Arabidopsis thaliana: one gene and its partner. The protein of the gene in region 2 interacts with the protein of the main gene of each other region in a pairwise test. Each region holds a gene or a part of one and is shown on either strand. Other genes may lie near its edges.

Evidence for each region. The genes of interacting proteins can lie anywhere in the genome.
Region 1: the proteins of AT4G18520 (region 2) and RIP1 interact in a two-hybrid assay, tested with the Arabidopsis thaliana proteins (one study listed by BioGRID).

The regions. Positions count from the first base shown.
Region 1 is NC_003074.8:5,046,109-5,053,864, reverse strand, and holds RIP1 (cobalt ion binding protein), read right to left. Parts: upstream 3,671-7,756; 5' UTR 3,545-3,670; coding exon 3,156-3,544; intron 2,985-3,155; coding exon 2,887-2,984; intron 2,803-2,886; coding exon 2,737-2,802; intron 2,379-2,736; coding exon 1,744-2,378; 3' UTR 1,410-1,743; downstream 1-1,409. Other genes in the region: AT3G15010 (RNA-binding (RRM/RBD/RNP motifs) family protein), read right to left, coding at 1-1,021; DJ1A (Class I glutamine amidotransferase-like superfamily protein), read right to left, coding at 4,244-4,441, 4,531-4,671, 4,787-4,987, 5,154-5,234, 5,326-5,511, 5,606-5,755, 6,030-6,230, 6,335-6,355. UniProt on the Arabidopsis thaliana protein: Involved in organellar RNA editing. Required for the processing of numerous RNA editing sites in mitochondria and plastids. Binds to the plastid RARE1 factor, a pentatricopeptide repeat-containing protein involved in RNA editing.
Region 2 is NC_003075.7:10,212,854-10,220,187, reverse strand, and holds AT4G18520 (Pentatricopeptide repeat (PPR) superfamily protein), read left to right. Parts: upstream 1-2,973; 5' UTR 2,974-3,084; coding exon 3,085-4,938; 3' UTR 4,939-5,092; downstream 5,093-7,334. Other genes in the region: AT4G18530 (lysine ketoglutarate reductase trans-splicing-like protein, putative (DUF707)), read right to left, coding at 1-34, 122-247, 334-387, 464-530, 618-800, 874-975, 1,058-1,176, 1,261-1,344 and 4 more. UniProt on the Arabidopsis thaliana protein: Required for proper chloroplast development. Involved in the regulation of plastid gene expression probably through regulation of plastid-encoded polymerase (PEP) dependent chloroplast transcription.

The DNA.
Region 1 (7,756 bases), on a different chromosome or scaffold from region 2:
GCCCACCATACCCACCGCCAAGTCCACCGTAGACGCCAGTACCACCTGGACCTCCATATCCACCATAGTGTCCACCATACCCAGCAGAACCAACACCCATTGAGGAGTGTGTGGAATTCATGTGATGCGCTGGTGGTCCTCCAGAGTACCCACCATAAGCACTGATACCACCAGCTGCACCATAAGGTCCTGCAGGACGCACCATTCCCATTCCCTCACCATGAACGTGTCCATGACCAGAACCACCATCTTGAGCTTGTGGCATTCCAGGCTTCCCTCCTTTCTTACCATCAACAGCCAACTTACAATTCAAATGTTTTCCATCAATCACCTTCACCGGATCAGCAAGAGCAGCCTGCGCACCTTCCGCTGTCTTGTAGACAAACAATGCAAAGCCTCTAGATTTACCAGTAACCTTATCAAAACCCAAAGGACCTTCCTCAACATCTCCATAAGCCATAAAGTGATTCAATAGCCTATCCGCCGGCATATCAAAAGGAACATTCGCCACATAGATCTTCCTCATTGATATATCTGCAATCTGGGAACCCGTACCTTGATTTCCAGATGCCGCGAGCTGCGTTACTGTAACACGCCCATCAATTTTCTTAGATGGTTCTTTCAGAGCTAGTAAAGCTCCATCAACGTGCATAAAAGTGACGAAACCATACCCTTTCGATTTCCCAGTGACCTTGTCAAGGATCACAATAGCTTCTTCTAGATCTCCGTAACTGGAAAAAAGCGAACGGAGACCTTCCGTAGTAGTATCCGCCGCGAGACCACGGATGAATAGCTTCCGCTGCGAGATATCAGAGTCGGCGGTTAATCGGACAGATTCAAGCACGTCGGGATGGCGTACGATAGCCTCTTGCAATAAGTCGAGCAGCTGATCAGTGGTGAATCGCTCGATAATCTTCCTCGCGTCTTGCGGCGACAATCGAGTTGGACCAATGGTTCCGCCACCGTTGGTATTGAGTCCGTTACCGTTCTCATCGAGCTTACGCTTCTTCATCATATCCATGGTTACAGATTTATCTCTGGAGTTATTCTTTCACCGGTAAATCCCTAATCCTTCTAGTCCAGCCGTAGAGAAAGCGAATCTGACACGAAAAAAAAGAGGGGAAAATATGTGACGGCGGAAAAACATATGAGGGAAGCGAGGGCTTTATACGGTTACGAGATTTTCCATTTTGGGCTGAAATTTAGAATGATGGGCCGGGATAAAGAACACAAAGCCCATCTTGTTACTTCACACCCGCTTCTCTCTCTCATCATCAAATTGTGTGTTCTGTCAAGTTTGTCGAAAGAAATATGATATTGATGACATTTGTCATTCTTCCTGTTATAATATGAGTATCCCATTCCCATGTAAACATGATTGGGGAATTAGAAATTAAGACTAGGAAGAAGCCAAAGAAAGACACAAAACAATAGCCTGTGGGAGACATGTTACTAAATCCCGTTTAATGCAGAACCAGGAGTGGACATAAGAGTAGCAAGCATCACAAGGAAGAACTTGAGATCGATTTAGGATATAAACTACTAAAAAGAAACGCAAGAGTGAAAAGTTCTAACCATGCCACAGTAACTTAGGCTATTCTCTCTCACATAATCCCAGACTGATAAACACTCGAGATAAAAGGAGTTTTAAAGTCTTGCTACTGCACTCTCTCTTCCTCAAATTATCTATACACAGCCCAGAATGCATGATTAAAAAGGAAACCCACGACTGCTTCAACTGCTTTAACCCTGGTAGGGGTTGCCACTGCCATCCCGGTTAGGTGGGTAGTTGTTCTGGTACTGTGGCTGCTGCATTCCACTACCCTGCTGCTGGTAGTTGTTGTTCTGTGGGGGTGCTCCTCCGTATTGAGGTGGTGGTACTGCTCCATATTGAGGTGGTGGTCCTCCTCCATAGTTTGGTGGTGGTGCTCCTCCCATGTTGTTTGCTGGTGGTGCTCCTCCATAGTTGGGAGGTGGTGTTCCTCCATAGTTCTGAGGTGGCCTCGGTCCTCCCATGTTGTTTTGCGGTGGTGCTCCATAAGGTGGTGGATGCCTTGGTCCTCCCATGTTGTTTGGTGGTGGTGGTCCATAGTTCTGCCCCATGTGAGGTGGAGGAGGTGCAGAGCCACCCATATGAGGCGGAGGAGGTGCAGAGCCACCGATGTGCGGAGGAGGAGGAGGGCCTCCCATGGGAGGACGTTGAGGAGGAGGGCCTCCTGCCATGTTCTCTCTTCTCCTCTCAAAGTTTCTGCTTCTATCATTGTTGCGAGGACGGTCATTGCGTCTGTTCCTTTCATTTGCTCTAGCATTGTTCCTTATCCACTCCTCGTGGTACTTAGGATCATAAGGAACAGCCTTCCCATCGATGAAAGGTTCCCCTGAAAGTCAATATATACAAAAACGCATCAAACTAACTCTCTAATAGGATCACCAGAAAGATTTAAACTCTCACCAAAGCAACATCACTGCGACTTCTACAACACCAGTCTCACAATAGATATCACTAAATCAAATCTAACAGATGCACCCACAATGTTAATTAACTATAAATAGAAGTCGCCCCATGTGTCAATCTAACACAAAAGCATGGAGCAAGTAACGAGTCCACAGAGCGAAGACTAGCAACAGGTAGTTTCCCTTGAAAATTTCAAACCCAGCAAAAGTATAATGGACGAGCAAAGCAACTACCCCAATTTCAAACCCAGGTTATGATACAGATAATACACTTAAGCCTACCTCCATAGTCTTTGTTCCTCACATCCAGGTAAGAGTCAGGAAGAACCCAGCGCACATTTGACAACTCTGGAGAGTTACAGAAGAAAGTTAGAAGGCAGATTATAACACAGAAATGAGGAAAACTAAAACCCAACAAAGGCAAGAGTTAACCTTTTAACTTGTGAGAAAGATCTTCTGACACAAGTGCCCCAAAAGCATAGTAGCACCTAGTTGAAACCGAGTAGATCTTCATCCTAGCTTCGTCTTCACTGAAATGTCCAAAACGAGATATATCATGTTACAGCTCCAAAAATGATCTAAGTAAACACACAGATCCGTCATACACAGTAGTGGATTTCTCACTTATTTAACCTAAAATCCCTAGAAGAACATACACAGAGAGAGAGAGAGAGAGAGAGAGTTTTGAATTGGGGATTTACCTGCCAACAATCTGAGCTAGGGTTTTGATGTAGCTATCAATGATTTCATCTCTAGTAGGCTCACCCTGAGGTGGCTCCACGACGACAAGCCAGTGCTCGAAATCGCAACCATCGAGCAGGATCGTCTCCTTAGGTGGCCTGTTCGACCAGTTGGGATTCGGGTCGTTCAGAGAAGACGATGTAGCCTGCGTCGAGAGACCTTTGACAGACACAAGGCCGCCACGGAAAACGGAGGAAAAAGCGGCGACCAGAGGACGGGACCGGCTGAGCAGAGAAGACGCCGGAGATTTGGCGAGAGGAGCAGATGAAGCAAAGGATCGCGTGAACAGAAACGAAAGAGATTTCGCCGGTCGGCAAAGAATGGATCGAGAAATGGTATGCGTCGCCATGGAAGCTCTAGATTGGGCTTCGCAGATAAAACCCTAGGAGAGAGTGTGAAAACAGATGAGCTAGAAATGAAATCAAGGGTTTTATGAGGGTTTAATAGTAGATTATGAGTCGAGGGCATTTTAGGTATTTCATAACTGAACTGGACAGCGAAATCTACGGTACTACCCCCTGATCTTATCAGATTCAACAAAATTGCCCCTATTTTACCTTAAGTTACAAATAAACACATTTTCGCCAAGAAATTAGTGACATTACTCTGTTTTCAAATGATAAAAAAGCTATTTTTATACAAGAAGAGAAGACTGAAGATTTTATTTTCACTAAATTGGTAATAATCATATTATTAAATGGTTTACAAATATGAAATATTCCAAAGCTAAACATAGGGGCAAATTCGTATTTTAGAGTTATTGTAAGGTCAATTTGGTGAAAATGTGTGACTAAAATATCTTTCTCCATAAAATAATTTTTTTCTCCAGCACACCCTCTAGCTCTTGCAGAGGTTTAAAGAAAATATCGGCAACATACATAGAAAAATCTCGTTTATTCATTTATAAAGGCATAAAGTTACACACCAATCACTAAGCCAAGCTCATATGTCATATATCATAAAGTAAGTAATTACTAATGGAGAGAGATAACTAAAAGGCAAAGCCTTCTTTTTATTCAAGCCACTCTCATACTTTCATTGTTTGAAATCACACAAGTGTTGCCTTTCCGAGCTGAAGAGCTTTCTCTCGCCCGTAAAACTTTTCGACAATGGCAAGTGAAAACTCCATTGCAGTCCCTGGAGCTCTGCTTGTTATGACATTTCCATCTACCACGACTCTGTGCTCAATGTGACTCTTGTCCGAAAGTTTGTCGCTCACCACTGGGTGAGTAGTAGCCTTCTTACCCTATACAAAACATGTCTCTTATATCTCAGTTTAATGACTTAAAAGATAGAACAAGAAACTACAATTCTAGTACTGTTTGATTTATGCACCTTGAGTAAACCATTAGGCTCGAAGACGTAAGCAGGCGATGCGCAGATTCCTCCATATGGTTTGTTTGCTTCTGCCTGTTTCCTTAACATATTAACTAGCTTCTCGCAGCTTGCGAATCTTTGAGCACCGTTAAGACCGCCCTGTAGTTCATCAAAGAAGTTGGATTATGTTTTTGGTTATTTGTCATCATAGAATATTAAAATTTAATTTAAGACTAAATAGTATATTCACATTTTGGAAGTTAGCAATACTCACAGGTAACACAATCAGATCAAACGACTTCTCTGCAACCTCATCAAGAAGAACTTCTGCTACTAGCTTAGCTTTGCGAGATCCTTCAACTTCCAAACTGTTACCAACTGCAGCAATCACTACATTTGCTTTTGCCCGCCTCAGGATATCTACAAGCGCTATAGCTTCAATTTCCTCTGACTCCTCTGCAATGGGTACGAGAATCTGAAAAGGGAAAACATTATCTCTCTGACTCATAAAAGACTATTGATCAAGAAAGACAAAAGCTTTACAACACAGCATGTTCCTAGGAATCTGTATAACGGATCAAACAAAGCCTGTCTTGGAAAAATGTTAAAAGGGCCAAGTGGAGAGGCAACTGAACATTTACCTGTGGTGTATCTTCAAATGACCAGTTTGTTTGGTTAAGCTCAGTAAAAGTAAACTCCTCACCAGGGTTAGGACGAAGCAGCTGATTTCAAAAGGATAACAAGTAAGTCTACGAGGAGGTGACATGAACACGTACCACAGCGGTTGATAAAAGAGGCAGAGACAAAACATACCAAGATACTGGAGACTTCATCAGCTTTTTCTTTCCCAAACAACTGCTCTATAAGCGTGATGGAGAATTCAATGGTGGTTCCTGGTCCACGACTGGTCACTATTCTTCCATCAATTTGCACTCTTGACTCAACAGCAGTTGCACAAGTAGCCGCAAGTTTCTCCATAAAAACAGGGTAACCCGTTGCCTGCAAGAAACCCCATGTAATAACAAGACATTACAAGGCCTGAAAAAAAGATAAATAAACGCCCTTGGAAATATACTGATCACTTCTGACTTACTTTCTTGCCTTCTAGTAGACCCCAAGTACCAAGAGCCAAGGCAGGAGCACAACATATAGCTGCGTTAAGTCGGCCATCAGAGTCTTGTTTCTTGACCATGTTCTCTAAAGATTTACAGTTTTTAAGAGTCTCGCCACCGGGAAGCCCTCCCTTTTCCCAATCATATCAAAAAGTATATCAGCAACACAATTATGAAATCTTTCAGAAAACAAGAATCTATGAAGTTGTTTCAGAGAACAAAAGTTGCAACAGATACATCTAAAAACCATCGTTCTTAGTAGGAACTATAAACATCACTTTCGAAACTTTAGTTAAGTGAGCTAATTGATAATTGATCGATCCACTTATTGGCTGTCCTTAGTTCTTAGATTACACACAAAGAAACAAAACAAATGGACAATGTTAAATCAGCAGAGAGACTTACGGGGAGCACAATAAGGTCGAAAACAGAGTCGGTAATATCAGAGAGAAGAGTATCAGCGACCATCTTGATGCCATGACAAGCATCAACGCCAACCTGAGTCTCAACAGACGCCACCGTCACGTCAGCACCACCTCGACGCAACACGGTAATCATCGCCACCGCTTCTAGAGGCTCCGTACCGTGCGCAATAGGGATCAAAACCTAAAAGAGACGCCAAAAAACCTTGGATTAATAATCACAAAAAAAAATCGTTACGTACGAGGAGGGAAAAAAGTATGATCTCGGGATCGTGAAACCCCACACACCGTTTTCGTAAATGAAGCCATAGTTGCGGAGATTAGAGAAACGATGGTCGAGTCAAGAAGAAAGAGAAATGGAGTGTAGTGGAGAAGAAAGGAGTGTCACTAATGGGGTTAAAATAGTAGGAAAGACTCAGTGACGAAGCCATTTACGACTTTCCTTTTTATCACTTTAACCAAAAGAAGATAGACGTGTGCGATGACGTAAGCATAAAGAAAAAGAAACTCGACGATACGTGTCGAACATTCATTGGTGGAACGTGGCGAAAGCTTCTTTTGAGTCTTTCCACGTCATTGTATTGGATAAAATCAGAAAAAGCCACTTTGGTTTCGGTAAACTAAGACGGCGTGAAGTTGGCGAGAAAAAAGTATTACAACAACGACATCACGTCCTGGTTCTTAATTTTGTGGAAGCACGTGTTGTCGTTTTTGATACATGTACTTTGTAGTAGAGTAAACCGGACGAACTTCTGAAGAGATGTTTTGTTAATTTTGTAGCGTTCCAATAATTTATGGGCTTTATATGGGAGTGTTAACCGGTCGAAAAAGTACTCCTACCCTTTCAAATAGCTATTAACGCGAAATTTGAAACTACTAGTTAAACTTAACCAAATATGATCCCATAAATATGATATATATACACGGTAAACTAATTAAGAGACTGTTCAGATGGTTTTTGGATGAATCGGTGTATTCAAATTAACACAAACACACACATTTTTCAAAATGGACAGCCTGAAATCATGATTTTTGTTATGATCTCTAATTTCTAACCCAACATGCAACAAACAATAAATGATCAATACCCATTATCCGGTCCAAAGTGTTTTTAACAAACTTAACGTTTTAGATATAATCCAAGGATGTGTGTCAAAATTCACTTATATTGTAATAGACGAAATTAAACTAGATTAAATCACATGTTTGTGTGTTTTAACCATGTTTGATGGCTTCGTTGGGTCCAACATATTCCATTCACAATTAGGATGAAGAAGAATGTCTCAATACAGAAAGCCAAATATAAAGCAAAACACGTGGCTCATGCATTAGCTTCGCAAGCGAGCCGAATTATTTGTTATTGACTTATGTGGATCAAAATTAGCAAATGAGGTCTACCATCTACCCTTTTAAAAAAGAATCGTTTCTTTTTAACCATAGTTAAACCTTAAAAATGAAAAAAGTATCTAGAATTGATCCCCTCTAAATATTTTTTTTTTTAAAAACAAATACTTTCACATAACACAGTCGTTTTCATCGTACTGGTACATGTACTTTTTGGAATTTTCATATATCAAAATCGAATAAGAAGAAACAAAGATTCAGAGCCGTATTCCTATATATAGTTAATACAAAACATGCAATAACTAATCTGTTCACACAACAAAATAGGTTAAAATACGACTTATGTCCATCATCGCATGCACCTAT
Region 2 (7,334 bases):
GTCTATTATCCACTTCACGAGACTCTAATGATTCCTGTGAAATCTCAACCAAATTATTTCATACAAAATCATAACACATAACTGCTTCAAGAAACATATAGAAAACACTAGTAGCACATACCGTTGATTTCGAGTCTGTCTCATTCCGCAAAGCGCTTGAAGCGGTTTCAACCACACCGAGCGTTGGAAGACCATAATGAATTATGTACTCCGCATCAACAACACCGACATTTTTCTTTCGGTCACCCTATCCGCAACCAAGAACATGTTAGTAAAAACCGTACAATGAAGGAAGTAAGGGCTTATCAAAACAAGTTAGAAGAAGAAACAAACTTGAGCACAATAACCAAGCTGCGTATCCAGACCCCAAGCATGGATCAAATCATTCTGCAACGCAAACGAAAGCATTAAACCCAATCCTCTCGACTCGGGGAACAAAAAACGAATGCTACACAAATGTTACCTGAATCATATACCAAGAACATCTCCATGCAGCTCTAGAGAAAACAGGTGCCATCATTTCCACCCACCTACAGATCCAAGTTACATGTTAACTGGAGAATGAGGTAGAAAGAGAGTTTCAAGAACATTTCACGGAATATGCGAAAAGCGTTTACCCGATGCAAGGAGGATTGGTGCTATGGTCATCACATCGCCCGCTACCTTTGTATTTATACATTCTTCTATGAACTTTTGATTTTTTTCGACGAGCGGTTATAGGATGATGCACTTCTGATTTTGAAGTGTCAAGAGCAGGTTGCGATATCTCAAGCCCCTCTTCTTTGACAATAGATAGATATCTAAAGTAAAACGATTGGAATGAGAAATGAAAAAAGATAAAAAAGAACACAAATTCTATATTTAGTGTGTTACCGTTGAGGATTGAAATGACCAACACCAAGATCTTCGTCCCAAAGAAATATATACTCGTACTCTGCAACTATATCGGGATGCAAGAATCGCTTGGCGAACCACCTTGTGACATTAACAACATTCAAGTATTAGAGAGTATATGATGGTTGACGAAAACAATAACAAGAAGTTCAAGAAAACGGACCATTTTGTTTGATTCATCACGGAAACATGAATCGCATGATTATTCCATGGATACTGCTTCCAGTCATCGACAACACCATCATAATGAAAAAGCATGACCGCGAAATCTCGAGGAGGAAACTGAAGTCACAGCAATTTGTATAACTAATCGAAATAAAAGACGAAAATCTTGCTGATAGAAACAATCAAATGAGAAAACAAAACCTTTTGGATAACTTTGTTAACTAGCTCCTTTTGCTTGATACCGACCGCCATGGCTAACAAACTCATCGAATGGTTAGGCCTTCTCTGAAAGAAATATACAGCAAAAGATTAAGCTACACGAAAAAAAAGCAATGAAACTTTCCAAATCTTTGAGGAATCATGTAACTACTAAATAACCTTTTTTGTGTCATCGTAGTTCCATAGATGTTGTGTTTCCAGGTTCGATGTTTTCTCGATAATTCCTTGCGGTAGTGCTTCAGTACCCACTGGCTTATTGAAATTCTAGTGAAAGATATATATATTTGTAAGTTTAATATCAAAGAATCTCATAAAACAAACCTCAAAGAATATTTCAAAGACAAACCTTGCATGTACTGGTTGTTGTTGCATTCTGCATCTTATCAGTACTGTTATGCATCTTATCAGTGATTTCCCACTTCAGCAACTTCTGCAGATTTATAATCTTATACATCAAATTCAGAAATCTAAACTTATTGTTCTAATGTTGACTATAAAACCAGAATTATTCAACAATGTCATGTTATTTACATGTCGGAAAAAAACACTACTGATTACACAAAAAGACAGCTGAACAATTTAACCAAAATGACAGTATCATAGAACACATATAGATCTTAAGTGATGCCAAATACAAAGAAGTTTACCTCTTTAAAGTCTTTAGCAAGATAAGCATTGCAAATGAAGTAAGCACCACAAATCAGAGCAGTGGTGATTAAGACACTACAGAGACACGATCTATTCATTGAACCCTGCAATTTAGAGAATTGATAATAAGACTTTGAGACGAAAACATAGATCAGAGCCTAGAGACAAGAGGTTTTAAATCACACATCAGAAGAACACTGAGCAAGGTTATAAACTATTAACAATATTTGAATCATCAGTAATAAAAAATCTTATTTGATTCAATAGGACAATGAGGACAATTTGGAAAAGACAATAATTTGACAGATATTTTTTTTAGATTTTCCTCTATGTTTACACATGAGAAGAAGATATAGCTAAAAAATTCCTAAACTATGCACATAATTATCTAACTGAATTCATCATCGTCAACAATTAAACAGCCAATAGACACAAAAATTGGATATATGAATGAAATCAATAAAAAAAGAAGAGACCAAGGAAGAAGAAAATATGTATTCTCACCTGTTTCATGAATTAGATGATTTGTTTTTCTCTGTTTCTGCCTTTTGTGTTTCTCTGAAAATTGAAGCTTTTTTTACCCTCTCAAAAAGGTTTCTTTTAAGACAGAATAAACCCTTTTCGAAAGAGAAGAGGAAGAGACCAAAGTAGACGAAGAAACGAATATCCTGAACTTGGTCGTTTCAAATTCTCTTCTCGAATTTGGAAGCTTTAAACAATAAAGATTCTGTTTTTTATCTTCTTCCGAGTCTAAGAAGAAGCTTTTTATTAGCTCAGTTGCTTCATAAAACCCAGAAACGGTAAGTGATAAAGAAGATTGAAGTCAGTCAAAGAGACACGTTTCAGAGATCGTGTAGCAAAATTCAAGGGTTTTCAGGAGAGAGAGACAACAAATGCAGAGAGGAAAGTGGGAAGTGATGAGACACGTGTTTTACGTTTATTGGTTTTGATATTAAGTCGTGTGTGTACTGTATATTTGTCTCTCGCTTAGGAATTTGAAACCGACCGAGATATTATTTGTTGTCGTCATAATTACCAGATCAGATTATAAACTTTTAATTCTCTTTACCAAAATAAATAAAAAAGAGAACTTTATCTGATTTTTTTTCCGGCGGGAGATCTCTGTGTGAAGCTTCTTCTCTTTCTCCATCGCCGACAATGTTTTCGTTATCGTTAATCCAACCGCGTCTCCGGATTTCAGAGATTCCGGTGACTCAATCCTACAAATCTCCGACGATATGTTACAGTAGCGATTCAAGAACTAAGCGAGAGGAACAGAGACACGTGAGATTACCTGGGTTTCGATTAGTTTCTGGAAAGAGAGCATCTTTCGATTCGGGTTTTAGTGGTTTCAAAGGAGAGAATGTGAATCAGGATGATTCGTCTTCTTTCGATAGCGAAAGAGTTGATTATGCTCTGTTAGCGGAGTGGCTACAGTCTTCTAATGGGATGCGACTCATTAAAAGGATCCATGCGATGGCGTTGAAGTGTTTTGATGATCAAGTTATCTATTTTGGGAACAATTTGATTAGTTCTTGTGTTAGACTTGGTGATTTGGTTTATGCACGTAAAGTGTTCGACAGTATGCCTGAGAAAAATACTGTTACTTGGACTGCTATGATTGATGGGTATTTGAAGTATGGTCTTGAGGATGAGGCTTTTGCACTGTTTGAGGATTATGTGAAGCATGGAATACGTTTTACGAACGAGAGGATGTTTGTGTGTTTGTTGAATCTGTGTAGTAGGAGAGCAGAGTTTGAGTTAGGGAGACAAGTTCATGGTAATATGGTGAAAGTTGGAGTGGGGAATCTCATTGTGGAGAGTTCTCTTGTTTATTTTTATGCGCAATGCGGTGAATTGACAAGTGCGTTACGAGCTTTTGATATGATGGAGGAGAAAGATGTGATATCTTGGACTGCTGTTATATCGGCGTGTTCGAGAAAAGGGCATGGAATTAAAGCTATAGGCATGTTTATCGGAATGTTGAATCACTGGTTTTTGCCTAACGAGTTTACGGTGTGCAGTATTTTGAAGGCTTGTAGTGAGGAGAAAGCGTTAAGATTCGGAAGGCAAGTACACAGCTTGGTTGTTAAGAGGATGATAAAGACAGATGTTTTTGTGGGAACTTCGCTGATGGACATGTATGCTAAGTGTGGGGAGATTTCTGATTGCAGAAAAGTGTTTGATGGAATGAGTAATAGAAACACGGTCACATGGACTTCGATTATAGCTGCTCATGCTCGGGAAGGTTTTGGTGAGGAAGCTATCAGCCTCTTCCGGATAATGAAGAGGCGGCATTTGATTGCTAACAATTTGACAGTAGTAAGCATTCTTAGAGCGTGTGGATCTGTTGGAGCTTTATTGTTGGGGAAGGAACTTCATGCACAGATTATCAAGAATTCGATCGAAAAGAATGTCTATATAGGAAGTACTTTGGTGTGGCTGTATTGTAAATGCGGAGAATCTCGTGACGCTTTCAATGTTCTCCAGCAATTGCCATCTAGAGATGTGGTTTCATGGACCGCTATGATCTCTGGATGTTCGAGCTTAGGACATGAATCGGAAGCGCTAGACTTCTTGAAAGAGATGATTCAAGAAGGTGTAGAGCCAAACCCATTTACATACTCCTCGGCTTTAAAAGCTTGTGCGAATTCAGAATCTCTTCTTATCGGTAGATCAATCCATTCCATTGCAAAGAAGAATCATGCTCTATCAAATGTCTTTGTGGGAAGTGCTTTGATTCACATGTATGCAAAATGTGGATTTGTCTCGGAAGCTTTTCGGGTTTTTGACAGTATGCCTGAGAAGAACTTGGTTTCATGGAAGGCGATGATAATGGGTTATGCGAGGAATGGGTTTTGCAGGGAAGCATTGAAGCTAATGTATAGAATGGAGGCAGAGGGATTTGAAGTTGATGATTATATATTTGCAACAATTCTCTCTACTTGTGGAGATATTGAGCTCGATGAAGCTGTTGAATCTTCTGCAACTTGTTACTTGGAGACATCTTGATCTTTCTTCTTTAGAATCTCTTTTTTTTTCAAGTTCTTTCTTATATGATAAAGTTTATGAAAAAAAAGATGCGTTCCACAATAGCACCAAATGTACAAATTTCATGTCGAATATTTCTTCTTTGCAATTAGCCAATGCAAGAATTTTAATGATGACCAATTATATCTATTAAGAAAAAAGTAGATTGATATATTTCAATTTAAGACTTAAGAACCTAGTTTTAATGGGCTTTTTCAAAATAGATTTATGGGCCTTAGTGACACATTTCCATTTACAGCTTGAATGAATCCATTTTTTTTCTTTGACGACTAAAATAAAAGATTCAGTTGAGGTGCCAATAAAGTGTGATTTTTTTTTGTAAGGTTGGATCTTGTTTACTAATAATTTGAACGCACTAGTTAAGTAATACTAGTATTTAATCAAATTTCTAAGTTGAATCTTTAAACAAACATTTTTAATGATAAAAATATGCTATATATAGACTATATGAAGTCCCTTTACTTTTTTTAAAAATGATTTACAATTTCAATTGAGGTCATGATCATCTCTTTCTTGAATCAGAATGCACACTATAGGTCCCCACTTTGGCACAATGAACCGAGTTGCTGCTTCCAAGTTTATGGCCTTTTGATGGTTTTATATTCTCATCGTAATTAAAGCTTATTCTTTCCATCTTATATAATGCTTAGATAATCTTAAGTGCCTGGATAAGACCCTTTGAATTTGTGTTGATTAATGACTATTTCGATACGTATCTATACTGGTTAATAGACGAAAATTTTATATTATCAACTACCTGCCTCTTCATAGTACTGTTTTATTCTAGTGAGAAAACATTTTGTCTTTTGAATGATGTAAAATGCGTAAACTATTTTATTTTATATGTTATGCCTTATTTTTAGTATGATTGTACACACAAGTTTATACCCTATAAAGTATATACTATAAAGGTGCCTACTAATCTTTATGCTTAGTAGTATGTATATTTGATTTTTGTTTAAAAACTAAAGCTAAACAAATTGGTGTCAACACTATCATATTATATACTTGATATGGTGTTAATTTTAAAAAAAAAAATCTCAAGATTTATATACAAATAAATTAGGATAGATAACTCATTGAAATAATTTAATTTATCTCGATAACCTCCTCTCATTTTCTCTTTGCGATAGAAATTTGTGAAAATTAGTTTTGAAAATTGCCTAAATAAACGAGTTTCAAAAAAAGATGGTCACAATCTAAAACACGTTTGGTTATGCTTACAATGATGTTTGTATACAATATGCTTTGTAAGAAACATCAGTTTTTAAATTTTTATAAAACTTCATAAAATTTCTTTAAAACACTTAAAAAATATATTTGAAAATATCTTTCGAAAATTTCATGTTTTCCGTCAATACAATAAGTCATTATTGTAATATTATCTCATATTGGAATTGAAGATAATTCAATATTTGTCAATTGGTTTTTGGGTTAGAAACTCTTAATTATCCGGCAAAGATTTTCTTCGTCTATGGACAATCATTTTTTTTGTTAAATCAGGAATATTTTGTATAAAAAAAATATATGAAAGTGCTAGTTCTTGAAAAGCAATATATTTTGTTCATTACCTCATTGCCGCATTTATATAAAATCCAAATCGTGCGTATGTGTACTATAATGATAAGAAGATCACGATGCTTATAATATCTTTTGCATGATATTAATCAATATTAAACAGAAAAGGAAAAGCTACTATCATTTAGAAGAGGGTCCATTTTGGTCGTGTGATAAGTCATTAGGTTTTGGCGTAACTCATAAAAATACGATTTGCTTTTAACGAAAAAAGATTGCTTCACGCTTGCCGTCTTTTGTTCGTCGATAAAAAAGATTTTATTATATATATGATGCCATTTACAGCCGAATAATCCTCCATTTTGGTCTTCACGTTCTTTAACTTTTAGGTCGATGCTTTTTTCGTTATCTTATTATATGTGTTTGTGTATAATGTTCAATTGTTTAATTAGTTTACTTTTGATATGCATATGATTTTCATCTGAATCTGTCTTTCTCACTCATGAGTCATCATGACATTTCATCCATGGGACGATCGTAGTACTATTAGGTGTTTGGTTTACTGTAAAAGCATATTTAGTTAAAGATTTCTGATAGATTATTTTGCAACTCTTTCTTATAAAAATCGATGGAGCAAACGCTTTAAGTTAAGTAGGCATACATATAATCAACATAGACATGTTGAATTTTGAAAATTTCAAGTTTACACAGTTTGATTAAATATGTAAACCGTAAACTGCATCGATTCATAGATATCAATATTTTACAATGCTTTACCTAAAAAAAAAAAAAAAAACGAAGTAACATGGTTTCGACGACCAAATAACTGAATAAGTCATACG